4 linked regions of the Diceros bicornis minor genome follow. The protein of the gene in region 2 interacts with the protein of the main gene of each other region in a pairwise test. Links are inferred from orthologs where the notes say so. Each region holds a gene or a part of one and is shown on either strand. Other genes may lie near its edges.

Region 1 (7,186 bases), on a different chromosome or scaffold from region 2:
CACTGACATGCTAAAATTGGTGGGTGAAAGTTTAAGCAGCAGTAGGGTATTTGCATAGTCTCAAAGTATCTCCTCAAAAATATTTATTTATTACAAAGGGGAAAATAGTAAGTGTAGATACTGCCTTAACCAAGTGATCAAAGTTAATATCACAAGTGTGGTAGGCAGCCTCTAAGATGGCTCCTAATTATCCCTCAGTCGGAGTATTCACATCCTTGTGTAATCTCTTCCTCTTGAGCGTGGGCTAGACCTAGCTTCTAACAAATGGAACATGGCAAAAGTGATAGGATATCAATTGTGAGATTAGGTTGCAAAGAAACTGTGGCTTCTGTCTTGCTTGCTCTCTTGCTTTTGCACTTGCTCATTGATGAAAGCCAGCTGCCATGTTGTGAGCTGGAGAGACCCCCAGCCAATAGCCAGCAAGGAACTGTGGTCCTCATCCAACATCCTGTTAGCAACTGAATCCTGCCAGCAGCCACATGAGCGAGCTTGGAAGCAGATCCTGCCCCAGTCAAGCCTTCGGATGAGGCCACAGCTGCCCCTGCTGCTAAACTGCCTGGATTCCTGACCCATAGAAACTGTGAGATAATGAATGTTAGTCCACTAAGTTGTGAGGTAATTTGTTATGTAGCAATAGATACCTTAATACAACCAGTGATGCACTGCAACACCATCGATCACCTGGTACGATGCACTGAGAAGGGCACAGGTCTCTGGGGTATCCTTCCCAATAATGCATAACCTCAATCTAATCGTGAGGACACATCCAACAATCCCATCATGACAAAACATCAGAATGAGGGACATTCTACTCTTTAAAAGTATCAAGGTCATGAAAGACAAGGAAAGACCTGGAGGGGCCGGTCCAGTGGCATAGTGGTTAAGTTCACATGCTCCGGTTTGGTGGCCCGGGGTTTGTGGGTTCAGATCCCAGGCGCGAACATGCATACCACTTACCAAGCCATGCAGTGGCAGGCATCCCACATATAAAGTAGAGGAAGATGGGCACAGATGTTAGTCCAGGGCGAAACTTCCTCAGCAAAAGAGGAGGATTGGCAACAGATGTTAGCTCAGGGCTAATCTTCCTCACCAAAAAAGAAAGAAAAAAAGAAAAGGAAAGACCTGGAAATTGTCACATATTGCAGGAGACTAAGGAGACATGACAGTGTGGATCCTGAAATATAAAAAGAATATTAGTGGAAAAACGGGGGGAAAAATTCTTTTAAGTCTAGTTTAGTTAACACATAATATTGTACCAATGTTGATTTCTTAGTTTTGATAATTATTCTAAGGTGTGGTTTCTCAGCTCTGGCACTGTTGGACATTTGGGGCTGGATAATTCTTTTTTTTTTAATATATAATTTTATTTATTTATTTTTTTCCCCAAAGCTCCAGTAGATAGTTGTATGTCATAGCTGCACATCCTTCTAGTTGCTGTATGTGGGATGCGGCCTCAGCATGGCCGCAGAAGCGGTGCGTTGGTGCGCGCCCGGGATCCGAACCCAGGCCGCCAGCAGCGGAGCACACGCACCCAACCGCCAAGCCACAGGGCCAGCCCTGGGCTGGATAATTCTTTGTTGTGGGGACTGCATTGTAGGATGTTTAGCAGCATCCTTGGCCTCTTCCCACTAAATGCGAGTAGCATCTCCCTCCCCCACTTTGTTTTGTTTTTTTGTGTGTGTGTGAGGAAGATCAGCCCCGAGCTAACATCTGTTGCCAATCCTCCTCTTTTTGCCAAGGAAGATTGGCCCTGGGCTAACATCCATGCCCATCCTCCTCTACTTTACGTGGGACACCATCACAGCATGGCCTGACAAGCGGTGCGTCGGTGCGCGCCCAGGATCCGAACCCCAGCCGCCAGCAGCGGAGCGCGAGCACTTAACCGCTAAGCCACCGGGCCGGCCCCTATTATTATGTAAGATGCTAATATAAGGGAAGGCTGGGTGAAGGGTATATGAAAACTCTCTACTACTTTTACAACTCTGCCCTAAGTCTAAAATTATCTTTATAAAGAGATGATGATTGGGCCAGCCCCGTGGCTTAGCGGTTAAGCTCGCGTGCTCCACTGCTGGCGGCTGGGGTTCGGATCCTGGGTGCGCACTGACGCACCACTTGTGTGGCCATGCTGAGGCTGTGTCCCACATACAGCAACTAGAAGGATGTGCAACTATGACATACAACTATCTACTGGGGCTTTGGGGGAAAAATAAATAAATAAAATTATAAAAAAAAGAGAGAGAGATGATGATTATTATGCTAATACATGCTTGTAAAAAAAATCAAAATGTTATATTAGAACTTAAGTTCCTCATTTCTTCACCTGCGTCACCAGTGGTAGTCATTAACATATTTGGATGAATCCAGAAATTTCCTGTAATATAAACCTGTAGTTTTACACAATTGAGGTAATTATACATACTTTAATACTCATACTGTTCATATTGCTCATACAGCAGCTTGCTTTTTAATGCTTTTTATGCTTTGATATCTTTCTATAAATGAGGGCATTCTTTTAAATCAATTTTATTCGTTGATTTTTTTTGGTTATGTTATGCTTTCATATATACTATAATTGCTATGCTGTACTATGACTTACTGTTTTTTCACCCAGCAAATACATTATCTTTGCTATCCACCAGGCACTATTTAAGTGCTTTATATAGATTAATTCATTTAATCTTCCCATCAAAGCTATGTATGAGGGGCCGGCCCCGTGGCTTAGTGGTTAAGTGCGAGAACTCCGCTACTGGCGGCCCGGGTTCGGATCCCGGTCGTGCACCGACACACCGCTTGTCTGGCCATGCTGAGGCCGCGTCCCACATACAGCAACTAGAAGGATGTGCAGCTATGACATACAACTATCTACTGGGGCTTTGGGAAGAAAAAAGGAAAAAAAGGAGGAGGATTGGCAATAGATGTTAGCTCAGGGCCGGTCTTCCCCAGCAAAAAGAGGAGGATTAGCATGGATGTTAGCTCAGGGCTGATCTTCCTCACCAAAAAAAAAAAAAAAAAAAAAAAGCTATGTATGAGATATGTGTTATTTCTTATCCTCATTTTGCAGATGAGAAAGCTGAAGTACAGAGGTTAAGTAATAAGTTCAAGGTCGTAGCAAATGGTAGAGCCAGGCTTTGAACCCAAGCAGTCTGGCTCCTGTGTGCTCCTCACCTTCTACCGCATCCTGCCCCTATAATTTGTTGTGCATATGTTTCCCTGTGTTTCATGTCACTGCGCCTCATTCGATTTAATGGTCACATAAGGGGCCATGCTATAGACGAAGTGTCATTGAACTCTTCCCTGTTGGTGTTTTTGACTCCCATGTCTATCTCCAGCCCCACGTTCCCAGTCACCTCCTCAGTGTCCCATGAACGCCACAGACTCAATTTTAAATTGACTAAAACTGAGCTCATCCTCCTCCCACCCGCGCCTGCTCCCCTGTCCCCATCTGAGTGGCAAGGTCAACACTCACCAGTCATCAAGGGCAAAGGCAGGAGCTAGATTGAGAAAGAATAAGTGACATAAAGTAGGTTCCAAAGGAAATGAAAGGTGTTTGGGTCAGTGGCATAGGGAAAAGGTTAGCCTTGCAAAAAAAAATAAAAGGGCGTAGGTTAGCTTTGGACGTCTGGAGGAAACAGGTGGGAAGAGGGAGGATGGAGGAGACAAATTTAGGCTTCTGGGTTCTTAGCTGCTCATCACCAAGGCAACTGCGCTGCTGTGGCAACAGCAAAGGAGCACCGCCACCGCCCCAAGTACCTCGTCGGCTGCCGTTCCCTCCGCACCAGCCAGACGCTTCCGCATGGGGGGGCTTGCGGGGCTCCGGGAACGGCTGAGGAAGGCGGGAATTGCTGCTGCAGTAGCCAATCGGGTGGGCCCTGCGGAGAAGGGCGCAAAGGAGGGGCCGGGAGTTCTTTGAAGCTCTCCAAAGGGCATTGAGAAGGCGGGCTCGAGTCCCTTCTCCACCACTTAGGGGCCGAGGGGAGGGAGGGGGCGGGACCGGGGTGAGGCCGACCGGGGGCGGGACCCGGGTAAACAGTGGAGAGGGTCCGCCCACTCTGGCTTCTGCCCAATAGGAAGCCAGGGAGCCAGTCCGGACAGTTAGAGTACCCAATGAGCGTCGTGGCCAGGCCCCCGTGCGCGGGGCGCCGAGCCAATCGGCGGCCGCGGCGGGCGGGCGCGGGCGGCGGAGGCGGCGCGGCGGAGGCGGAGCGGGCGCTGCGGCAGGAGGGAAGATGGCGGACGAGGAGAAGCTGCCGCCCGGCTGGGAGAAGCGCATGAGCCGCAGCTCAGGTGCCGCGGGGTCGGGGCTGGGGCGGGGCCGCGCGGGCCCGCGGAAGTAGAGCTCGAGCTCGCCCCTCGGGCGCCGCGCCGCCGCCCTGTTGCCGTGGGGTCTTGGCTCCTCTGCGTCGTCCCCGGGTAACGGCCCAGTCGGCCCCGTGGGGCTGCGAGCTGGAGGAGCGGGGAAGCCGGAGGAAACTGAGGCAAGGGGCGGGGCCGGAGAGGCCCAGCGCGCTGCCGGGGGGTGAGGGGCCGGTGATCCGGCTGCACCGCCCGGGCGGTGGCCGTGGCCCTACCGGGCCGGCTGACACCTTTCGGCCGAATGCACCTGCCGTCCCGGGGGACCGTCTCTGCACTCCGCGGGGCCCGGGGGCCACCCCGGGGGAGGTCACCCCACCCCCATGCTCAGGGCGTGGCCCCAGGGTGTTGCCCAGCCTGGGATCCGCAACCTACTTTTGCTAACACGCCTGCCGTGCGCATCTAATGCTGAGTCTGCGACATGCGGCTGGTGGTGTTCTCTCTGAGGATGGCGCCTGTGCTGGGGGCCCGGGTTAAGGCTCATCCACAGTATTCATGTCAATAATAGGGCACGTTTGTCTCAGCGCCAGGCATTGTGCCAAGCTTTTTAAGTGTGTTCTGTCTCTGCACGGCCGTAACTCGGGGGGGGGGGGAGAGGTCGTTCTTCCTCCCATTTTGTAGATCAGAAGACTGAGGCCAGAAAACTTAAGGAAGTCTCCCAAGGTCGTTCATTTCAGGGGTGGGGGCTGAGTTAGAACCCTGCCCTTGTCACTGCAGACTACTGAGGAGCAGGCCCTGCGTCTCCCTCCAGTGGCTCCATAGCCCGTAGTAACCGCAGTGGCAGTTATAATTCCTGATTATTGACCACCAGGCACTGCGGCGAGCACTTTGCATACATCATCATCGATTCCACGTTAACCCCGTGAAGTTTGATGTCCTTATTCTCTCGCCTCACTTCTACTTTTCAGATGAGAAAACTGAGGTTCAGGGAGATGGAGCCTGTTGCCAAGGTTTTAGAGGCAGGCAGTGGCTCAGCTCTCAGCCTGCTCCGGCCCTGGCCTGCGGCTGTGACCTGCAGCATAAACTTGATGCTCTGCCCAATTCCGGGCCCCCACTCCTGCCACTTGTGCCTGGCTCAACCCTGAGAGTGTTCCTTAGGGGTGACATCAGCCCTTCAGGGTGCTGGGCGCAAGTCTTCCATGTCACCCAGGGAAACTCTGGGCCCCTGGAATGATACCCCATCTCTGCTGGGTCCTACTTCTAGCTTCTTATTTGCAGCCTTCACTGCTTCATGTTCCTCAGTCCTAGGTAACGTCTGGCCCCCAGTCATTCTGGCCTCTGGTTCTGCGGCACAGCATACGGGGTGGGCGACAAGAGCAGAGCTTTTGTGTCTCACACACGTGGGTGCAGTTCCTGCCTCCCCGCATTTGTGCCTGGAGCAGAGTAGACACTCAGGAAACGTAACCAAAGATGCGCAAGGTGAAGCCTCAGTTTTGTCGTCTCTAAAATGAAGAAAATAACAGCTGGCACACTCTTCGTGCCAGGTGCTCTCCTGAGCATGAGTTTTATCCTGAGCATCAGTTCCAAATGTGGACTTATTCAGCCTTCCAGGCAGATACTGTTATCTCCATCTTACAGGTGAGAAAACCTGAGGCCGGGGCAGGTAGGTCATACCTTGAGGAAATGGCAGAGCCAGATTTGAACAGGTGTTTGGCTGCCTGCGTGCTTTGAACTACTCCCTGTCCCCAAGGCTTCCTCTCTTCCTCACCCTGGGTTATTTTCCTTCTTGAAGTTATGGCTGAAGTTACTGTCTTATTTGCTGTCTGGTACCTGTTTGTCCCCACCTAGAATGTTAGCTTCCTAAGGGCCTCTGGCAGGTGGTGGACACAGTGGATTTGCTGAATGAAAGCATCTCATCGGCCAGTCCTGTATGCTGGCCCAGGGTGGTGTCCTGTGAGCACGTCGGCGCTGAATTCCCGCCCGCCCCCCCCTACAGGCCGGGTGTACTACTTCAACCACATCACCAACGCCAGCCAGTGGGAGCGGCCGAGCGGCAACAGCAGCAGCGGCGGCAAAAATGGCCAGGGGGAGCCCACCAGGGTCCGCTGCTCACATCTGCTGGTCAAGCACAGCCAGTCACGGCGGCCCTCGTCCTGGCGGCAGGAGAAGATTACCCGGACCAAGGAAGAGGCCCTGGAGCTGATTAACGGTGAGCGGGGCTGGCGGCGGGGGCTCGGGGTGGGGTCCTCTCCCCGGGAGCCAGAGCCGGCCTTGTGGAAACCACGTCAGACCTTCCACCCCAGCTGGCTCAGCTGTCAGGGGGGCCCTGGGTCCCTGAACTTGACAGGAGCCTGGCCCACACGGCCGCCTCTCCTTTTTCTTTCCATCTGGTGTTGGAGGCTGAGCCAGGGTAGGTGGGGAGGACCTAGCAGATCTGGATTCAGGTGGTTGCTATGCCACTGTAAGCCCCTTGACCTTGGGGGACCCGAGTCACCTCCTTAAGACTCAGTTTTCACCTCTGTAAAGTGGGCGTCATCACATACCTATCTGTGAAGGCCGCTGGGAAAATTCGGTGAATGAGACAGTCACTGCGTGCCGCACAGTGGGCCCTCGGTCAGCGGGGCTGTGGTTGATGGTAACATCATCGAGCAGGGTCCTGGGGCACATATGTGGGTGAGTAGGGAGGGAGGTTGGAAAGTAGCAACGCAGAACCAGCTGGCAGAGTTGGTGAATTAATTCTGCCCCGAGGGAGGAGGCTGTTCCTTGCTCTGTTCTGTGCTTCCTCCACAGTCTAGAGCAGCAGTTGAGAGGCAAACTTTTTCTGAAAAGGCCAGATGGTAAATCTTTTAGGTTTTACGAGCCATAGGGTCTCTGTCGGCTTTGCCTTGTAACTCGC
Region 2 (7,811 bases):
CCATGCTATAAGCAATGAGAGACTTATGTGTTAATAATATATCAGAATTATAGTGATTTCCTCCATTGCTTTAGTTTCTGCTATATCAAGATACCTTTATAATACTATGAAATGAAATAACTATGAACGTAAATTATGGAAGACCAAATGCAATATCATCTCAGGAGAAAGATATCTTGAATTAAAATCTACCTAGAGAGCTAACAAATATTAATTAACTTGAACAGTGAAATTGGCACTAAATTTTATTTTCAATGAGCATACATAGATTTAACCAAAAACTATTGTGAAATTTCCTTTTAAATAGTCAAAAGTTCTTTCAAAATATCCCATCAAAGAAAATATTCATTCTAACTCCCCAGTGATTCTATCTTTGGTGATGACTAATTGTATTTCCCACTCAAGATGTAATCTATTAATACTTTATGTAACTGATGCAAACTTTGGGGATTGTTTGTTTTTTTCAGTACTTTAATTATCAGCTTCAACATGTAAAAATAAAGTTATTTTGTTATACGGTTATTTCCCACCAAAACAGGGTTGCACTATTAATATAACCAATTTTTTAAGAAAGTTGTTATTAAAATAATTTAAAGGAACCCACTTTAAATTCTTTAAATTTAAATTAAACCCACCAGTTCTTAGATCCCACTTTCTCTGTTTCTCCCCAACCAAAATAACATGTGCCTATATGAACATTCAGTTTGCCGTAAGAAACTTAGGTGTGTTTGGTTCAGTTCAGGAAGCATAGGAACAATCCATCACATAGGTTTCTCACTGCAGAAGTAAAATGAACAGTAAGAGCTTCTAGTAATTGCAGAAGTGCTGCTGACCAATTTGAACTGGGATCTGCTTCCAAAAAAAGTTACACTGATATCAAATGCTGAGTCTATGAAATGATCACTGCATTCTAAAAATGACCTTTTTTTCTGGTGAAGATGGAAACCTTCTTGTTATGATTAACCTTTTAACTTTGTCTTAAGAGAGTTTCACTTATGGTTAGTAAAAACCATTAAAAATGAGTGATACTGCTGGTAACTTTCTTAGATATAAACTAATTTGTGATGGAGCATTAAAAGTTCACCTCTGACCTTGTAAAGTAAAAGTTAGATTTTAAGTTTGTGATAGAAGAATCCATCTCATACTAACACTGAAGAACAAATGATACTATTGCTGCAAAGGCACATGAGAAATATGCAGTTCAATCATTGTCATTTATGTGGGATCTTACCTAAAGCATTATAAAGGATAAACATTTTCCAATCTTTCAAACCAATACCTGGAATTACCTTCTTAGGACTGTTAAACCAATTCCGCAAAGGAAGAAAAATATGTAAATATTATATTAAATGACCCTTTCCAAAAAGATAGGACGTATGTTGCGCTATTAGCTACAGAAGAAAACTCACAAATTCTCTGATCGTCAAGTATCTTAACAACTTCATAATGATACAGATAAGTAACGGCTTTGAGGAATTGTCCGTAAAACTTTAGTTTCTCTAAATTGCTTCAATTTAGTTGGCAGCCTGTGCCTTCAAGCCTCCGCGTTCAGTAAGCTTCCCGTTTTGCGTGGCTGCTCGAGTTATCCCTACGTAGATCAGCGCCTTCTGCGTGCACCCTCGCACACCAGCCTCAGGCACATAGCGAACTAGCACTACCCGGATTGTCGTTTGTTTCCCCATACTTGTCTCCGATAATACTCAGTTGGAGGAGGATTTTACTTTCCACTTTAGAAATTTAAATTAGCACCACACGAATACAACTACTATTAAGAATCATCACTCTTCAAGAGTCTGAGTGTGTATTTATTTACAATTTTCTGATACGTTCCTTTAAATCCTCTGAATTCCTAGATTATGTCTTCTTCCCCTAGAAAGGGAAATTTTTACCATTTGGAATAGGCTGCTATTTAAAGAACTCTGAAATCAGAATATTTTCAAAAAACGACAACTTATTTTTTCTCATACTCTCTGCCAAGTTCCATTGCAAGTTCCAAATATTGTGCAATAATTTGGAAATCCAGTTAACGATGGGAAAAATCGAGCCACTCGGAGTCGGGAACTTGCAAGGGAAAAGTCAAGGAGCGGCACCCGCACGCACGCCCAGCGGACACTGCATCCCAGGGTGCACTCCCCTCCCCATCGCTCAGAGGAAAGGTCACGCTTCGCAATCGATTTCACATACTGTCACTTGTTCTTTTTTCTTAACTCTCTGGTAAACTAGTTTGAACCTTGGAGGGCTTAGCGCTGTTGGCTGCAGTGTCGCCCTCGGAGAAACACGTGCCCCCAAATAACAGGACCAAAGCAGCCCCGCCGAATTTGGCGACGGGGAGTCAGAGAGGGCAACAAGACGTGTACCATATTCCCTGCCGCCTCACTATAGTGCGAGAATCCTCCCTGTCATCTCTCCGCCCCCTTTCGCCGAGGGTGCCTGGTGCATCCTTACCTGAGCTATCGCTTTTCCTCTTGCCGCCGCTTCTCTTCTCCGCCTCAGCGGGTGACAGCGCCTGGCGGCCGTAGTCCCCAGGCGCGCACGCGGCCCCGGTCGGGGTGCTGGAGCCCAAGCTGGAAGAGTTGGAACACAGGACCGGTGGGCTGCTTCCCAGCTCCGGGGGCCCTCCCGAGTCCGCCTGGAGGCAGAGGCTGTGCCGAGCTGCACTCGGAGGGGAGGACATCTGCGGGAGGTGCCAGTTGGTTTGCAGAGCTTGGTGCTGTTGCTGTTGGTGGTGGTGATGGTGATGATGGTGGTGGTGGTGGTGCCCCCTGTGATGCTGGCTGGCAAACATGCCCTCCTCGTTGGGGTATCCCGCGATTATGCAAGACGAGGAAGAAGTGGAGAGCTCGGGGTAGGACATATGGTCAGATCTTCCATGGAGGGCGAGAGAGGATTGGGAGAACGGGTGCAAGCCTTGCGCGGTGGCGTGAGGGCTGCGCAGGCAGCCAAAGAGCGGGTGTTCCATAGCATGCAAGTCTCGGGTTCCAGGCAGAAGACTTCACGACGAGTCCAAACGCCACTACCCTCTGTCACTTTTCACTGAAAACCGTGTGACTTTTTCCCTTCCCAAAGCAATAACCGCCCGCGTTTCTGCAGAGCTCGGATAATCCCTGTCCTGAGCCCCAGCGGCCAGCCTCCTTCACATATAAACACTCGGACCTGGAGGAGCTTCCCTCCGAACTACTCAGATGTCAAGAGTAGGAGAGGTTGAAGCCAAAAGAAGGTGGTCCCAGAGAACAGCTTTCAGGGGGAAACGGCTCTGAGAGGTTATAAATAGAGTGTAATGTGAGCTGGGGGCTGGCTTAGGAGGCCAGCGCTGACCACATGCAAACTCCCTCCAAAACTCCCGCTCAGTGTGCGCCACGCGCTCCGAGTTCCACTTCCTATCTCCGGCTGGACGCACGCAGCGCGTCCACGCCCGCCGGCCCCCGCCAGCCGCCAAGGCTGCAAGCGGCGCGCCTGGCGCCTAAACCCCAGCCCCGGCGGGCGTTGGCTCTCCCCTCTCGACTCGGTGCACCGAGGCGCGCCGCGATGCCCGCCAGTCGCAACCCCGCGCCCAGTGTGTGGCCCGCTCACTTCTCTCAGGAAAGGTGTCTTGCTAATGCCACTTTGGCACTGTCATCTGCAGGAGAACTAGGGGTGCGCTCAGCTCTTGAAGAGCACGAAAGGAGCAGTAGAGTTGAGGAAGATCAGAGCTAGTTTGGCGCGCGCTCAGAGAAGTTTTTCAAACTTCGCGTGAACTTGTGCCCTGGACCAAGTGACGAGCCTAGCTTTTTGCAGCTGGTATCTGTGGGTGGGTTGTTAGTAGGTTCGGATGCTAGGTCCGAGGTTGCAGGGAAGTTCCCAGCGGGCAAGAAAAGGCCAGTCTCGGTGCCAAAAGGAGAGGGACCTGGTGGGGTAGGTCGGAGGAAAACGTGGGGCGGTGGCAGTTGTCGATATCCAGACCCTGGTATCCTCACCTGCGGTGCCAGGTGTGTACTCTCTTCCCCTGGTTTCCGCAAATGTCGTCTCTGCTTTCCGCAAATTACCTCCCCTCTGCTTTCCTGGTCCCACTCAATTTCCTAGACACTTGTCCACCAAGAACTTTTTCTGGGACAGGAATATTCCGAAGCGATTTCTTCCCGGTCACATGAGATGTGTATACTGCACGCACTTTTCCAGTCTTTTCCCTCAAGAGCCAGCCCATGTCCCCTCATTTCCCTCCAGAAATCCACCCTCTCTTCCGCTGGAAAATAAATCAGCTAATCGCAACCCTTCCCACCCTCCCCCCAACCCATGCCATGGCTCCGTTTATTGAAAAATATTGCACTTGAATATCTCCCAAAGTTCACTATACCTGGGTGCTTTAGGTCTCCTTGGTTACAATCTTGCATCATAGAAAATGAATTAGAATACTTGCCACCAGTGAATTAGTGCGAGCGACGGCTGATACCGCCACTTTTGATGCTGCCACTTGCTTGAGGGGCGACACTGTCTGCTGGGGGCAGAGTCGTTTGTTTACACAAGGCAAGAAAGCCTCGTGTAATGAGCTGCAGAACAGTTGAGTCCCGCCTGGGACCTGTCGCATCAGGAGAATATTGACGCTCACCTATCCCGCCGGGGGACCCCAAATGTGCCACCAGCAGCGTCGCCCCGCTATTTTCATTGTCTCAGGTGTCCAGAGGATGGGGACCAGGTCTTTGAAGTTGTTAATGGGATTAATGGGGACAGCAAACTGCGCCAGCCATCTGGCTTGAATTAGGAAAAAGTATTGATTAATCTGTGAGAAGTGTCCCCAAGGCAGAACCTTTTCCCTCGCCCAGTCCCTCAGGCTTCAGCCTATCTCCCTTTTCTTTTAAGCCGTACTGCAGAATAGTGGCTTCGCAACAAAGCTTTGCATCCATATGTAAGTCCGAATTGTTTTCCATTGCTTAGAGGTGGGGTGAGGCGGGAGTGATCAGGAATTCTGAGATTTGTAAGTGCTGCTTTCTTTAACGGAAATTGAGCCCTATTTTGAGGGAAATTAGTTTTGCAGACTTCGTTAAAAAAAAAAAAAAAAAGCTAAAACTTTTGTTCACCAGCTGCTCAGCTTCTCAGTCTGGGTCTGAGCTGGAACCTGCTGCAAGCGTTTGACGGTAAGACTTTCTTTGCCGATATGTTTTGGGAATCTAATCTTGCTTTAGACTTCGAAAGGGGGTGTTCTTCAGGTTGCACGTTTCTAAGGGTTTTAACCACTCGCAGGATGGCGTCCAGGGCTTAGACCTTAAGAATGTTTCTTTCTGCCACTCCTCATGCCCTTGACTCTTTAAGGATAAAAAAAGAGGGACTATATTCTTCTAATATCGTCGGAATATTTTTTGAATTTTCATTGTGTTTATGGTTTCAATATGTGCTCTGATATTAAAAGTTGAAGTACAAAGAGCCACACTAAACTTCCCAAACTCGGGTAACTAACTACTCCATGGATTCTGGGTGGAAGCATTAAAGGCTTTATCCAAAGAGAAATTTAGGCACCCACCTCCATAAACAGTAACTAGAAATATTTACTGAATATAATGCTGTCTACTAAAAGCATTGTGGAAAATGTCAGACAAGGCTAACTAAAGATACACTTGATCTGCACACATCAATAAAAAACATCCATAAAGGTCCTTTTGGTTTGCATTACAGTGGTTTGGAAGGGGCGAAGCAATTGGGAAATGAATGGATTTGAATTTAACCAGTGTGTTGCAGGTAACTAGCAACTAGCAAACACAAACTTTTCATCTCCAGGAGCTGCCACTTCTCCTTGAACCTGCCCGATGACTGTGCTGGCTTTTTTCTCACTCACTGTGTCAGATGTTAACAACATGTCCAGAAATTTCTCTACAACCTGCCTCAGTCAGCCAGCCTCTGGAATGGTGGGGCTAGAAGTCTGAGAAAGAAAAATTAGAAAAGGTTAGAAAGGGAAGGAGTCTCTTTGAAAGGCATGTAATTAAAACAAAGCTAGCAGGAAAGGTCTTTTTAATTGAAGACACAAAACGTATAATATCAGTAAAAATGATGAAGTCCAGATTTCTAACAGAAAGCATAATATAAGGAAAACGTTATTTGGAAGAGAAAAAAGTGTGATTCAAAGAAGAAAGGAGTAAAAAGGAGGTCTTGATGCATTCCAGAATTAAATATGACTTTTATTTTTTGTGAATTTCCAAATATATATTAATTACTCCATAAAGTTTTTTTCAAAATTTTCATTTCTTAGAATATTTGGATTAAGATAAAATATGGGTTTTTATTTTCTAGGCCATAGAGAATTTTTTCAAAATGTAATAGGAAAAATTTCTAGCGTTTCCTATGATAGCTACTTCAGTGTCCACATCTATAAAATCTGATGTTGAAAGATGCTTTCTTACCTCTAATGGCTAATTATATCAGGAAGAATGGCAAAAATTACAAAATTTATTATAGAGTTTCTATAGCATTCATTTTAAACTATATATTATATAGTATTTATTCTATATTTACAATATACTTGAATTTTCCTGAAAAATGTTCTATTAATACAAATATTTCTTGCAAGGTTTTGATATCAAGCAGCACATTATAACAAGAGGTTCAATATACAAAAAACGTAAGCTGCTCATCTTTTGTAGGAAACATAATCAAAATTATTTTAAACATGTGCTTGGCTCTTTAAATTTGATAAATATGTATATCATTCCTTCTGCTTAATGAAATGATATTCAATAGTAAAGGCAGCGATTTTTTTTAATTAAGACTTTTATTTTAACGGGACTAGAATTTAAATTAAGCAATCTGAAACATTTATTTTTAAATTTATTTTAAGAGTCATGATGATTCTTTTAAGAGTTGTCATTCTTCTATACACTTGTGACATGAGGCATGATGGGAATAAAATATTTAAAATTAAATATTATCTTTAGCTACAGATATCATAAAACTTTACTTTGCATTTTACCTGCTAGATATATTTGCCTTAGTAACATATAGTTATGATATATGAATTTAAGTATGGAAAATTAAATTGAGACTGGAATTTGTCTCTGAAAGTTTTGTTGAGGATAAAAATATTATTTCTGCTATTTCTCCAAGAATAATAGTTATGTCCTTCAGTTGGTTCTTCTGAAATAAAGAATTTTGAAAATATATTAAAATATGCTAAATACTCAAAGGTAATTTATGTGATTTATGATGCACTCCATTTTTAAAAACTAAGGAATTGCCTTTCTCCAGGAATTATGCATTGTACAATTTAAAAAACAATTTTGCTATGGCTAACTCTTGTTATTTAGTAATTCTATATACTTTTACTGATTTTTATAATAAATAACTATTTTTACATAACACTAACTACTGCTTTCGCAATAAAATTTGTTACATTTCTACATATACTAGAAAAAAATGCATACTTACACATTACTTCTGAAAAGTGTAAAACATCCAACATACTTTGTTTTTCTAATTTCTATCTCTTCCTACATTTGTGATTTCTTTCAGAAATTAGTGTTTTTCTTCAATTCAATTGAGGTACTATATAGTAAATAATATTCAGAAAACTAGCATGAAATGTATATTATGACTGATAAAATTAAATTCATAAATTTAATTAAAAATTCAAAATATATGCAACCTTCCATGATTCCCATTGATTTCCACATACATTTTATGAAATTCTAATTATCTTTTTGTGTGGGGGGGGGAGTGTTAAAATTATGAAGATATTGACTACCTCTCAAATTTTAAAAGCTTCTATCTGAACTTCCTTTTGTCCACCTGTTTTAAACCCAGAATTATTCAACAATGTTACCTCATAATGATGCACATGGGGAATAGTTACA
Region 3 (6,454 bases), on a different chromosome or scaffold from region 2:
AAGCACGTCCTGGTGTGCAGAATGCTGCACCCAGGGCACCTTTCACTTCCCCTCTGCTCTGACTGCCCCTTGGACAGTGCCCAACCTGCCACAGGCCCTCCCCTACCTCGAGGCTTCCTTCCCTCCCTGCCCTGTGGGGAGGAAAGAACCACCAGCATTTGCCCATGGTTGAAAACAAACTGGAAAACTGCACAAATAAGAACAGATTTTTAATAATTTATTATTATAGTAAAACATCTTGAATAAATATGGAGCATGAGCTTAAATAAATAAATAAATAAATATTAAAATACATAAATACATAAATAAATATGACTGATCCCTGCCAGTGTAAAATATCTCCTACTCCCCTACCACACCCATATCAAGGTCAGCATGGCCCAGAGCAAGTCCATGTCTTCCACAGCCCTGGCCCACCCTGTGGTCCCTCCAAGGTGAAGATCCTGAGTTTCGGCTCTTTGTGGGTGGGAGGGCAGCCATCTGTGAAGTAAGCTCCCAGGGCTAGCTCCTGTCTGGACCGGCCTGCCTCACTCCTGGACTGGCTCCCAGCAGTCAAAGGGGATGTCAAACAGAAATTTCTTCAGGTTCTCTTTGAAACTTTTGAAGGTGATAATCTGGGTTGCACAGGAAGTTTCCTTAAAAAAAAAGAAAAGAAAAAGAAAACTTGAGTCCAGACGTGAGTGGGTAACGTGAGGGAAGCACCAGCGTGTTTCTGCGCTGCCTCTTAGATCTCAGAGGCCAGAAGGCCCCTCTGGGGTCTGCCTGCTGACCTGGCTCAGGTAACATGTTGCCACCCATGTGCCACTCAAAGGGTACACAGCTCTGCCAGGGCCACAGACCTGACAAAGTGCCAATCTGAGGCTGGTCTGCTGGGCAGTTGGGGCAACTGCCTCTTTGGTCCCAGGCCAGGCTGAGGCTGGCTCCAGGATCCCAAAAGGGGCAGGCGTCAAGGCCACAGACCTCATTCCCTTCCCACAGGAAAGGAATGTTTGGGGCCTTTGTCCATTCCAGGTATGTCCCCATCCTTTCTCCCAAGTAGTCCAGCACCCACAAGGGGCAAGAGGAAAGTCCTGTCGGGAGGCAGCACTTGGGCCCAGGACTTCCTCTGGACCTTAGGCGGGCCCTGAGTTTCCTTGGGTTTGCCTCACCTCTGACCTCATTAATGACAACAAATAACAAAAGTGGTAGCAGCTCCCGCTAGGGAGCGCTGTAGGCTCCTGAGCTCCACAGCTTTAACTCCTAGAGATGAAAATGGGCTGGACTGCTCCCTCTCTGGAGGAGCTAATCATTACAAATCTGTTCAGACAGAAACCCTTTGGGATCCTGAACAGCCACAGCCACAGGTCTCTCCCTACCCAGTCCTCTACTCTCCCAGGCTGAGACCTTCCCGCTTGGGGCCCAAATGTGAGCACTCACCGGGGTGGGGGGGCAGTGTTGCTTGTAGTGGCTGGCCATCATGGTCAAGGAGCCCTTGAGCCTGGTGAGGCTGCCCCGCAAGCCCTGTTTGTACAGCTCCAGGCGAGTCTGCAGGCATGTCAGCTCCTGTGGGAAATGTCCGTTTCTCAGTGAGCAGTGGCCAAGTGCCCTTCTGTGGGCACAGGACACCTTCTGCATCATTCTTTTCTGTTCTCATCCCTGTCCTCCAACAGTAGGGCCTGGGAGGGGCACAGGATGATTCCTGACTCGTCTCAGGCCAGGTCCAGTCACACAGACTGCCCTGTCTCCCTATCCATTGCAGACACGAGTCTGACTCCTCCTCACTATTCAGCTCAGGCCACCCTCAGCCAGCACAGCCACATTCCCTTGGTCTGGCACCTCAAGAGGGTCCCAGCCCCCAGGAAATGAGGTCACTAACCCCTACCATTCAGGGAGAGAGGGGCGGAGCAGGACATCAGCTGGACCTGTTGTATGAGCAAGGCTTGTTCCTGAAACCACCCCCGTGCCCCTCTGTAGCCAGCACCCTGTCTCCACAGGGCTTGCTTTCAGCACACAGTGAGTACCCCATGCCCACAGCCCCTGTCTCACGAAGTAACTTCCGCTTACCCAACTGTCCCCTAGTCACCCCAGGCCCCTTGAATGCTAGGTCTGTACATGGCTGCTCAGCTAATAAAGGAGCTCACATGATTGCCACACGGGCAAGGCCGGTGGCCTCTTGAGTACCCCTCCTGGCAGCCAGCTGACTGGAGAGAAAGTGGACAACCCTGTGAGGGTCCATCTAAAATGGAGCCACCCCCTAAGGCAGAGACCTCTGGGAAGATGTGTCAGAGAGAAGCATCTTACCTGGGGGTCAAACATTTCAGAGACGACTTCTACTGTTTCATTCTGTAGAAAAGGAAAATGTCGTGTTATCAAGCTGATAGGCAGGGCCAATTGGGGCCAGCGAGGTGTCCCAGGCACAGCCCGTGCTCCCTCCCTCACTCACCATCATAGCAGCAGTGTCACTACTGTGGTTCAGAAGGCTCAGGGCCTCCTTGATGGCATCCACGTGCTGCCAGGGCCGGGTGACAAGGCTGGGTTGTCGGGTGGGTGCGGAGATGCTGCAGACCACAGTGCCCAGGAAAAGCAGGTTTTGCAGCCACATCCTCCTGAGGACTTTAGCCTTTCTCTCTGAGCACTGGGCTCACTGGCAAAGGAGCTCTTATATACACAGTTAGAGGAAATGATTAATGGTGACCACAAAACGCCAGGGAGGCGGGGGAACTACCTGAACTGTGGAATCTCCTGGCCCTTATCAGCTACACAAGGGAACGGTGAGCCTTTCCCCTAGGTGGTCAGGCTCGGGGGTTTTCATTAATGAGCCCTTCCAAGAATTGGCAGCCCACCGCCTGCCTACTTGAGCGTGCTCCAGCCCTCCTTGGGCAGTCTGACCTGCTGAGGCTGTCCCCTCCCCCTGAGGGGCCTCTGGGCACAGCTTGGACTTCCTGGCCTGGAGTGGCCGGGGCGGGGCCTGGGAGACACTGGATCAAGCTCATATTCCCAGGCTCCCCCGGATCCTGCTTGTTATCCCAAGAGGCCTTTGGGCTGGCTGTGTCCACCCTGCGGTCTGTTCCAACCCCAGACTCCCCTTCTCCTCCTAGAGCCCTCTCCTCTGGCCACAGTGAGAGATTTGAGTGTGAGGAGGACACTCACTCTCAGCCCACTGTCCACCTAGGCAGATTCCAGCCAAATGGCATAGACCTGCAACAGTTCCCACCAAGGATGCAGAGCAGTCGACAAGCTCAGCCCCTCCAGGGACCTCTGCCTTACAGCCCCTGTGAGCAGAGAATGGCAACCGTGCACACATCCAGCCAGCAGGATTGCAGTGCTCCTTCATGGTGAGGTTCCATCTGACAGCAGCAGTTCTGGTTTACACAGCCATATTCAACGCCCAAGCTGCAGAGGTGGGTTGGGGTTCCCAGCTGGGGTGCATTAGGGCCCTGAGTTCAAATCCTGATTCCAGCACCACCTTGCTGAGTGACTTTTCCCTCTGAGCTGTGTGAGCCTTGCCTCGCTCTGCAGGGCATGACAGCCCCCAGCAGGCGCCAGGAGCTTCAGAGGCTGGCTGAGGGCTTATGGCTGCATCCACACCAGGGGGACAACAGCGTCTCAGACAAGGTCTTCCAGGCTTAATTTCCTACATGGCCCCTGCCCCAGCCCACCTCCAGCTCCAGAGGCCTCTCTGTGGAACAGGAACTGCTTCTGGGAAAGCCACAGGCTCTTGAGAGTCTGAGAAGTGTTTGATTTTCACAATGGAGTTAGGAAAGGATAGCACGAGTTTGTGTTTGCTGCGAGTTTCAAGGCCACAGGGGTGTAGGTCCACATGTGTACATTTCTGAGTATCTATGTGCCAGTGTGGTTGGCTGTGTCTTACAGGCGTGTCAGGAAGGGGGAATGTTTTACATGAGGTACATCCATGTGAGCCCCCATGCCTCTGCAGGTACCCCTCTGATATGGGGAGGACAGGATGGGGGAGAGTGTTTGGGGCACAGAGAGGTGATCTGTTTCTGGGCCCCAGAGTCTGATTCAGCCTAGATAATGGGGTCAGACACAAGCGAGGACATTCTGCTGGGCTTAAGTGGACAGCCCTCGAGAGCAGGTAGAACTCATGTGTCCCGGGGTCCAAGCCTGCAGCCCTGGCAAGTTTCACTGCATGGCGGGAGGGTTGCTGCCCTTGCATGGAGAGGCCAGGCCTTAGTCCTTCAGACCCCACTGGGGTGCCTGCCAGGATCTGGGACCCACCATGAGGTCAGCCCTGCCCTTCTGAGCCTGATGGAACATTCTTAGGTGGCCAGGCTGGGGGTAAGAGTATGGCATGTCCAGGCCCTGGCGCTTCCTCCACCTTTTCCATAAGGCCTCTGCTCAACCCCTTCCAAGGAAGGGGTCAAGGAGGCTAAGATGCAGATGACACACAGAGTGAAGGTCTGTGTCAGACAGTGCCCTGGAGGCTGGGTGGTAGAGAGTGGAGGCCACAGGCAGTGGCTAAGTTGGTGGCCAGAGAGGCAGAGAGCTGGTATGGCCCCTCTGAGATGGAAGGTCACTTTCCTCCTGGAAATGAGTCATCACACTAAGACAATTAGTCAACAAACTTTTCCAATCTGCACCAGGCCCTGTGCTGGGGAGGAGGTGGATGGGACCCTCCCACTCACCCTCACATCTGGCCCTGGAGGCTCTCAGTCTGGTCTGTGAGACAGACAGCAGTGGACCCTCCCATTGTGTGGTCCAGGCTGGGATGAGGGAAGTTCAGAGCTGAGGGAACCACTTCTTCCAGTTTGGAGGTTCAAGGGGACCAGAGAGCTTCCTGGGAGATGCTGCCTCCCAGCACAGGCTGAAGGGGCAAGTAGAGTCAGGTAGGCAAGTCAGGTTGTGGGATGGAGAGGGAGGACAGGATAGGGGGAAGTATTTGGGGGCACAGAGAGGCAGAGGGTTTTAGGAGCAGGTGTGGTAAAGAGGAGGCAGTTTCCAAAGAGATCTAGGAGGTAGAATCTGGGTAGGACTTGGTAACATTCATTCAATATTTATTGAGAACCTACTAGGTTCCCTGCGCGGGAAGGGGAATACAAGGATGATGGAAAACAGACAAGGTCCTGCCTCTATGTAGCCTCATGGATGGAGAAGCAAGATTAATCTACTCACCGTCCTCCCCAAAGTATGCTTTTGTGTGTAAGAAGAGTTGGAACCACTGTCCAGGTGTCTAAGGTGGGGACCCAGGGGATGAAGGAGTGGGTCTGCAGGGTCTAAGGGCCCATGGGAAGGTTCTGTGGTTTGGAGGCTGCATGCACAGGAGACAGACATGGGAGTGGTCCATGTCTATGCAATCGCTAAGGCCACAAGGCTGAGGGCCAGAACAGTGGTGCTTAAGGGCCAGGCGCATGATAGCTGGGCAAGAGACTCTCCAGTAGCCAAGGGCACTAGGAGAGCAGGAAAGCAGGAGCCGCAGGGAGAGGGCCATGCCAGCGGTGTGGCTATGGGCACCAAAGGTAGCACACAAGGGACAGCAGTCCACGGGTTTGGCAATGAGTTTCGTGGTCAGCCACACATCTTACTTCTGGAAAGATGACATCAGGGCTGAGGCCATGACATGGGCAGGCATTCCTAGATTGCACCGCATGGAAAGTGGCAGCAACAGCATCCAGCAGCGTGCTGACTCAGGGGCCCCAGTGGGACTGTGGGAGGGCGGGGGTGAGGACCATGATGGGCAGTGTGACTCCTCTTTGGCCCCCTTCCCACATGGCCAGGAGAAAACCCTCTGGAAGAGGTTTCCTTTGAGTGTCCCTCCCACAGGTTCTGGAAGAAACAGGGGCTTGTGGCCACACCAGATCCTTATCACGGAGGAAGTCATCATGGGAGAAGGAAACGGGCCTCCGAGTGCCGCGCAGCCCATGTGACCTCTGCATGGGCGTCTCAGCTCATCTCACCCTTCCCTGGGCCTGCAACCCCTCGGTGGGGGGCGTCCTTGTCTTCCCTGGGGACCTGAGGCCCAGGAGACCAATGGCCCACCCAGTCCACATAATCAGTAATGGCAGAGGCAGGATTTGAACCCATAACCGTTCCTGCTCCCCTGATGTCTTCTACTATCTCAGTTGGAAAGCCAGGAAAAGCTGGTCACCTGGCTAGACCAGTGGGGGGATGTCCCCCTCAGGGCGGCTGTAAAGGGAGATGCCTCCAGGTGCTGGCAGGGAAGCTGGAGTGGCCTGTGACTATCCCAGGGAAGCCCTGGGGGCCGAAGGCAGAATTTCTCCAGCAGAGCCTACCATCCAGACATCTCTGTGTCTCCAGCTCAGGTCTGGGCTCTCCACCACTGATCCCTGGGTAGCCTGAGAAAGTCCCTCCTCCCTGGGCCTCAGCTCCTCCATCTGTTCAATGGGTTTAATTATCGTTGCCTCACAGAGGTAATTGTTGCCCGTCCCAGGAAACTTTGTAGGGGAATCCTCCCAGGGAGGAGGCAATGTTTCAACCTTTCCTCCACTCTCGCCAC
Region 4 (6,824 bases), on a different chromosome or scaffold from region 2:
AACACACAGGGGGATGCAGAGATACACGAGTGTGCGTGCACACACACGCCTGTGTAAGAGGTCACACACCAACCCTCTCAGAGCACGTGCAGAGGCTCCTATAGAGTTGGCAATGTGCTAATATCTAGTGCCTTCTTGGAAAACATTAGCTCTCATTTCCCTTCTCCTTCCCCTGAATCCTTGATCAAGTCTTGCTTATTGGTGGCCACTAACTGGTTCTCTGTCCTTCCGGAGAGAGCAGGTGGCTCTTCCAAAGCAGACCAGGTGGCCTTGTCACCTTGTCTCCTTCTGGGCCTCACCTGCCTCCACTCTTCTTAAGAAAGTCTGTTACCAGCCATCCTATCCCTAGTCCCACCTTCCACCCACACATCCGCAGAAACCCAACCCTGCCACCGTCAGCCCCCAGCCCAGCAGCCGGGTCACCCCTTCTATCCCGAGAAAGCTCACCTTCTCCCGGAAGGCCTCCCAGTTGTTCGACTCCCGGGGTCCCCCCTGCCCCACACTTTTGGTGGGGCACACCCCATGGCAGAGCCTTTGGGATCATGCCCTCCTGTCTGCCTAGGTCTGTGTCTAGCTCCTGAAGTTTGTTGTTGTTTAGTGCCACTTTAGGTTGTGATTCACAAGAGGGCAGTGGCTTTATATATCTGTGTGACTTGGGGTGTCAAGGGTCCCAAGGGATCAGCTTAACTGAAAAAATTAAGGCTTTGGCTGATGAAAATGCCCCCGTTAAACAGGGTCAAATAAACGAGGCAAAATGGAGCAGACTGAACCAAGCTAATCTGGTTAAGAGCTCAAAGCTCTGCAAGACAAGAAGTTGGATGAGCTGATGTCACAGGACCCTTCCATCTCTGACCTCCTCGGAGGCCAGGGCATTAATACTGGGGGGCCTGCCCTGCCAAGCCTGGGTATAGGAGGAGGACGGGGGTGGGGTGAGTGGGAGGGGCCGAGGGAGCCGGGTGTCTGCCGTGACCTACATCTGCTCCCAGCACTGCCTGTCCAGCAGCAGTCCATTCAGAGCCTCTGGCAGCGTGCAGCAGCTGGAGACGGGGAGGAGGGAGTGGACAGGAGGCTGGAGGCGGCTGTGCACCCAGGTAAGTGGGCACTGCACACCTGGCTGCCCACCCAGAGCGAGGGTAGGGCAGAGAGGGAGATACTGGGATGCTCTCTAACATTTCTACTCAGGAAGGGGCAGGCAGTGGGCGTGAGATCAGTCGGGGAACACTCCCTGGGGTGCACGTACATCCCCTCTGTACAACTCCAGGATATTTGCAGAAGAGAATTTCAGCGAGTCCTGTCCTGGTGGTTCTATCCTGGCTCTGATTTTCCGGGCGCTGCTTGGCTTGGAGTGTGAAGTGATGAGCAGCTTAAAGATCTGACTGGCCATCCAGAATAAGGACCTCAGGGCTGGGACTTGTTCCATCTTGAGTAATAACAGGTCAGAGCAGTGGAGAGAAACCCCCTTTGTCTCTTCCTGCCTCTACTCCTACCAGCCGAGAAATGGGGGCAGCGGGAACCTGGATCCGCAGGATGCAACAGCAGGTGGAGACGGGATGGAGGCTTGAGGGTCCCGGAGAGAGACCAGGAGACCCTGCCCTGGGGTCCGGGGCTGAGAGCCATGTGGGGACAGGCTGGAAGGAGGACACGAGCTGCTGTGTGGTCCTGAGAAGAATTAGGCTTCTTCTCAAAAGTGGGAATGAACCACGGAGGAGAGAGTATGTTTCCTTCCCCATCCCCTCCGACTGAGACCGCATCCCTCTGGTCTCCAACCAAACAGATCTCTTCCCCATTGCCATTGACCTTGCACCAAATCTGGCTTATTCCTGAAGAGAATGGAGGTCTGGAGGGCGAGATGGCTTAGCCTCGGACCCCTAAGTCCCCGTAGGGGTTCTGCTCCTCTCTCCCTCCCCAGCTGAGACCTGCAGGCAGGAGGCTGGAGGGAGAGGAGAGGTGTTAGCATTGTACTTCTTCATGTGTGACAACCGAGTAAGTGCCTGACGGCTGGTGGTGACGATGATGGAGGTTGAAGATGAAGATGATGGCTGAGATATCTGTGTTGAACTACTCCAGAGTAGAGTAGTAGACAGGTGGAGAGTGGAGGTTGTGGACAGGTGCCAGACGGGGAGTGGGTGGGACGGAGGCCCCTGCAGTCGTCCCCCGGCTGAAGCTGGCTGGGTTCTCCTCCACTGGCGCTGCTCTCCCTCCTTGCCCTCCCCTGTGACTCCTTGCTGCTCAACGGCTGTGGCCCTGTGACTGCTCCAGAACACAGTTGGCACCACGTGGCATTCCAGCACACTGGGGGGCAGTGGCTGGGCTGTGGAGGGGACACCTTGGGGCCAGAAATGCCAGTGGGTGGGCAGTTGTGAAATGGAAGAATGTGAGTAGGAGGGAGGAATGTGCTCTGTCATGTGTGATCCTGTATTTATAGCAGGGCTCTTAGGGGGGGAATGGAGGCTCCAAAATGGAACCCCTTGGCCATGGGCCAACCACACAGGAGGTGGGTCTGCTGGAGAATTCTTTCAAGTCATCGTCTCCCCTCTCCAATTCATGGCTTTCATCAAGGCTCTCACCCCAGCCCAGAGCCAAGACCCCTCCCTCTCCTAGGTGGCACTCACCATGGGCCAAAATGGATAGATGTACTTAAGAGGAAGTCGGGGGGAGGGGTGCGGGTTGGGAGAGGCTGGCAAAACACTCTTGCTCACCTGACGCTATAATTCACTGGCTTCAGAGGGGGGCAGATGGATTTATGGGGAGCCCCTCGGCCTGGGTCGAGAAGAGCTTAAGAGCAGCCAAGTCAAGGATTCTCTCCCGCAGACCCAGTAATGGGAAGGATTCCAGATTGGCTGAGGTTGGGAGGTAGAGGGCTCTGGGCCCTGCTAGAAGGTCTCGGAGTCCCAGAGAATGTCCCTGGAAAAGTGATATTCCAGAGTCAAGGGGGGCAGGCTGTTCAGTAGCTGGAAGGATCCTGAATGCTGGAATTTGATCTCCCGAGGTTCCGGGAGGCTGTTCCTCACCCTCTGAGTGGTCGTTGGGCCTGGGTCCCACCAGGAGGCCAGCCCACCAGCCCAGTTTGTAGGCTCAGCCCCCTGGTGTCCTTTGCCTGGGAAAGGTCCAACTCGGCAGCGTCCTACCCCTTCCCAACTCTGAGAAATCGGTGTTGCTGAGCAGGGATTGCAGGAAACCCATCAGCGTCATTAGCTGGGGTGAGACAAGCTCTCGGGGGCAGTAACCCCACCCGGCTCCCACCCCAGATGCTGGCTGTGGCACTGATGGGTGGGGGATGGGGAGACCAGCCCACACCTCTCATAAGCAGGCCTGTCTTCTATTCTCAGGAGACCAGTCACCACCCTCAGCAGCCAGAGAGGAGCCAGAACTATGGCAGGTGAGGGCAGAGCTCCCCTCCCCTCCCCTAGCACCGCGTTGGCGTTCCTCCCCTGGGTGGAGAGGAGGGAAGGGGGAGGGCTCAGGGAGCTTTGGGAGCTCACCTGCTTCTTTGCTTTTTTTTACTTTTGGTTTGGGGTTTTAACTGGTTTTCCAGAACAAAATGTGCAGAGGCCCCCATGTGGGCCTTGCTTCTGACAAGGAGCCCTTTCCCACTCTCCCTCTCCAGCTTCACCCCAGGGATGCTCCCAGAGTCTTCCCAGGGCGCCCCCTGCCCACTTCCCAGAGGCCCCATTCGCACTGCTGGCGGACCACTGCCGGACCCCACTAGAACATTCAAAAGCACTGCTCACAGGCAGAGCTGTGGGAGACAGTGCTGCCCGACACTGGGGGAGCGAAGAGGGCTCTTCCTCCTGGGGAAAGTGGGTCAATGCTCCATGGTGTGGAAGGGCCACCCATGAGGGAGAGAGGGTAGGGCCCATCTCCCTTTCTCCCGCCTTCTCCAGGGAAGCCCTTCAAGAGGTCCTCTGTCCCTGGGGTGAGCATCCGGCAGCTGGTGGAGGAGGTCCCCAAAGGATGCAGCCTGCCCAACTTCGAGCAGAAGCCCATCACCTTGGCGCTGCAGGAGGGTGAGACCTGGGAGGGGAGCCGCTGAAAGGAGGCAAGATCCCCACTCCCAGCATGCATAGGGCCGTTCTTCCCGGCCTGCCCCCCAGTGCCTAAGCCCATCCCCAGGCCACACCACTTCTCCCTATACCCAGGGGTCCCTGCCTGCCTGGATCCCCAGAAAGGCAAGGCTCTGGGGAGCAGAATGGGTGAGGGAGTGAAGACATGCCATGTTGGCTGATGCAAGAAGTGTCTGGGGAACAAGAACTGGAAATGCTGAACTGGGAGCAGGAGGAGGTTGTGGGGTATCCCAGTGTCCCGCCCTCTCCCCTCCTCCTAGCAGCTGCAGCAGGGAGGCAGCGAAACTGAATGAATTCGGGATCCTCCCAACCCTGGCCTCCGGAAGCCACACGCAGCGGCTCACAGGCTGGGCTCTGGAAGTTTCTGGAAGGCCACATGAGAGAAGTGCCCGGGAGAGTAGGGGGAGCAAAGGCTTGTTGGGGAAGGCATGCAAATTAGTGTTCTTTCCCCAAACCACATCCCTGCAGTGATTTTCAGTTTACAACACTCTGGTATAAGAAAAATCTTGGCCCTCTAGTTTTCTCAATCTGACTCGAAGCCCCACTCCACAAGGTCGTGAGAGTTTTGTCTCATCATTGGGAAGTCCCGTGGGTCTTTACTGCGTACACTCTCTATTGAGATGTCCCTGTGGGGAGCCTGAGAGGTTCCTGGAGGGGGAGCAGCTCCCAGCCTCCCACGCCAGACACGGAGCGTGGGGTCTTTTCTGAGGCTGGAACCCTGCGTCTCAGGACCAGCTCCTTTGAGCGCCAAACAGCCACACCTTTCCAAGGTTGTCGTCCTGCCCTAGAGAGTGGACATGGAACCCACAGAAGACTCATCCGCTTCCCAGTCTTGGGGAGTCCTTCAGACTCCTTACCGCATTCACCTGCAAAGAAACACCCCTCCCACCCCAAGCCCTGCTCACCACCCCTCCACCATGGACAGTCCGGCTGCACCTCCTCCTCAAGGATCCCGGGTGTTGCCATACAAAAGCCAACCGAGGATTGTCTTCTGAGCGCCCGGAAGCTAGAGGAGTCCTTGAGTCAAGGGGACTGAGGCCTGGCGCCCTTCCTGCAGTGGGCCATTGGAACATCTAGAGCAGCGAAGACAACATAAATTAAAATCTCAGTAAACATACTCTCCCCCTCCCCCAACTTGTCAATCTCCCGCCGGCCTCTTCCCGCTACAGGGAAAAATGCCATCTTCCGGGCCGTGGTATGTGGGGATCCCAGACCCGAGGTGAATTGGCAGTGCAGCAAAGGTACCCTCAGTCACTCCAGCAAGTACCAGATCTCTTCCACCCCTGGCGGCAAGGAGCACGTGCTGCAGGTGAGCAGGGGTAGGCTGGGGTCCACCCATCTCTTCCCGTCCCCTCGAGGGGCTCCTTGGTGGCCTCCAAGCCCCAGAGCAGTAAGAGATACCCCCAGCTAGGGCTGAGTCCACTCAACTCCACCCTGTGGCTCCGGGTTGCCTGAGCCAGGTGTGGACCCAGCAGGCTTCCAGGTGGCTCTGCTGATAACTTGGGAGGCAGTGTAGACTGGAGCTTAAGAACTCAAGCCCGGAGTCAGACTGCCTGGTTACGACCCCAGGCCCACACCTTGGCCTAGGAAGGCTGCTTACTTCTCTGCACCTCTGTTTCCTCATCTGTCAAGTGGGTCATAATAGCACCCACTTTATGAGGTTTCTATGGGGATTAAAGGTTATGTAAAGTGTCTGGCAGTGCCTGGCCCGTAGTGAGTCCCACTCAACCAATGTTGGTCAATATTAGCCATATTTATCGCTCCCAGTCATGGACCTCCTACTGTGTGCTGGGCCCTGGGCTAACCACATGATGTAGATTATATACTTTAATCCTCATCATTCACCGTCTTTTGAGGTATTATTACCCTCATTTTTTTTAAATAATTTTATTTATTTATTTATTTTCCCCCAAAGCCCCAGTAGATAGTTGTATGTCATAGCTGCACATCCTTCTAGTTGCTGTATGTGGGATGCAGCCTCAGCATGGCCGGAGAAGCGGTGCGTCGGTGCGCACCCGGGATCCGAACCCGGGCTGCCAGCAGCAGAGCGCGTGCACTTAACCGCTAAGCCACGGGGCTGGTCCTTTTACCCTCATTTTTAAGTAAAGAAACTAAGGTTCAGAGAGGTTAGGTAACTTGCTCAAGGTCCCAAATCTCTTAATACATGACAGAGACGATGTGTAGTCTCAGATACGTCTGACTCAAGTAAGCGAGCTCTTTCTGCTACACTGTGTTGCCTCTGATGGCAAAGAGCGGGCACATCCACCCTCTGTCCTGATCTGGGATTCTGTTTTAGGGTGTGCTTTCCTGATGAGGACAAGGGCCGTGTCTTACTCATCTCTGTGATACACAGCCATGTCTAGTAAATGGAGGGGGATGCTAGCCCTGTCCCCCGCCCTTGTCCTCTGCAGATCAACAAGCTGACGGGTGAGGACATGGACGTGTACCGCTGCACCGCAGTGAATGCGTACGGAGAGGCCATGTGCTCCGCCAGGCTCACCGTCATCGAAGGTGGGCACCCCGGTCCGTCCCTGGCTCTGTCCCAGCTCCCGGCATCTAAGGCCTCCTCGCACCTGTGGGGAGGGAGGGGGCCCCAGGAGGCTGCTGCCCTGCCTGGAGCCAGAGCTTGCGGCCTCGTCCACTTACACACTAGCTCTGCGTGTGGTGGCACAGGCGCACGCTCGGCAGACGTCCCATTGCGGGCGCACTGAGGGACTTTCTCTTAGCCCCGTGGAATGAGCTCAGGACCTGGAAGTTGGC

Evidence for each region.
Region 1: the proteins of MEOX2 (region 2) and PIN1 interact in binary tests that used the Homo sapiens proteins (3 or more experiments, as listed by UniProt). The two-hybrid records come from large-scale screens. The link is inferred for Diceros bicornis minor from reciprocal best matches to the Homo sapiens genes MEOX2 and PIN1.
Region 3: the proteins of MEOX2 (region 2) and CSF2 interact in binary tests that used the Homo sapiens proteins (3 or more experiments, as listed by UniProt). The two-hybrid records come from large-scale screens. The link is inferred for Diceros bicornis minor from reciprocal best matches to the Homo sapiens genes MEOX2 and CSF2.
Region 4: the proteins of MEOX2 (region 2) and IGFN1 interact in binary tests that used the Homo sapiens proteins (3 or more experiments, as listed by UniProt). The two-hybrid records come from large-scale screens. The link is inferred for Diceros bicornis minor from reciprocal best matches to the Homo sapiens genes MEOX2 and IGFN1.

The regions. Positions count from the first base shown.
Region 1 is NC_080769.1:9,218,935-9,226,120, reverse strand, and holds the start of PIN1 (peptidyl-prolyl cis-trans isomerase NIMA-interacting 1), read left to right. Parts: upstream 1-4,178; 5' UTR 4,179-4,226; coding exon 4,227-4,284; intron 4,285-6,286; coding exon 6,287-6,499; intron 6,500-7,186. UniProt on the Homo sapiens protein: Peptidyl-prolyl cis/trans isomerase (PPIase) that binds to and isomerizes specific phosphorylated Ser/Thr-Pro (pSer/Thr-Pro) motifs.
Region 2 is NC_080742.1:42,092,922-42,100,732, forward strand, and holds the start of MEOX2 (homeobox protein MOX-2), read right to left. Parts: upstream 3,022-7,811; 5' UTR 2,960-3,021; coding exon 2,446-2,959; intron 1-2,445. UniProt on the Homo sapiens protein: Mesodermal transcription factor that plays a key role in somitogenesis and somitogenesis and limb muscle differentiation. Required during limb development for normal appendicular muscle formation and for the normal regulation of myogenic genes.
Region 3 is NC_080740.1:51,374,652-51,381,105, reverse strand, and holds CSF2 (granulocyte-macrophage colony-stimulating factor), read right to left. Parts: upstream 2,582-6,454; coding exon 2,423-2,581; intron 2,323-2,422; coding exon 2,281-2,322; intron 1,543-2,280; coding exon 1,417-1,542; intron 636-1,416; coding exon 528-635; 3' UTR 501-527; downstream 1-500. UniProt on the Homo sapiens protein: Cytokine that stimulates the growth and differentiation of hematopoietic precursor cells from various lineages, including granulocytes, macrophages, eosinophils and erythrocytes.
Region 4 is NC_080777.1:29,494,513-29,501,336, forward strand, and holds the start of IGFN1 (immunoglobulin-like and fibronectin type III domain-containing protein 1), read left to right. Parts: upstream 1-3,808; coding exon 3,809-3,818; intron 3,819-3,884; coding exon 3,885-4,007; intron 4,008-5,233; coding exon 5,234-5,373; intron 5,374-6,475; coding exon 6,476-6,575; intron 6,576-6,824.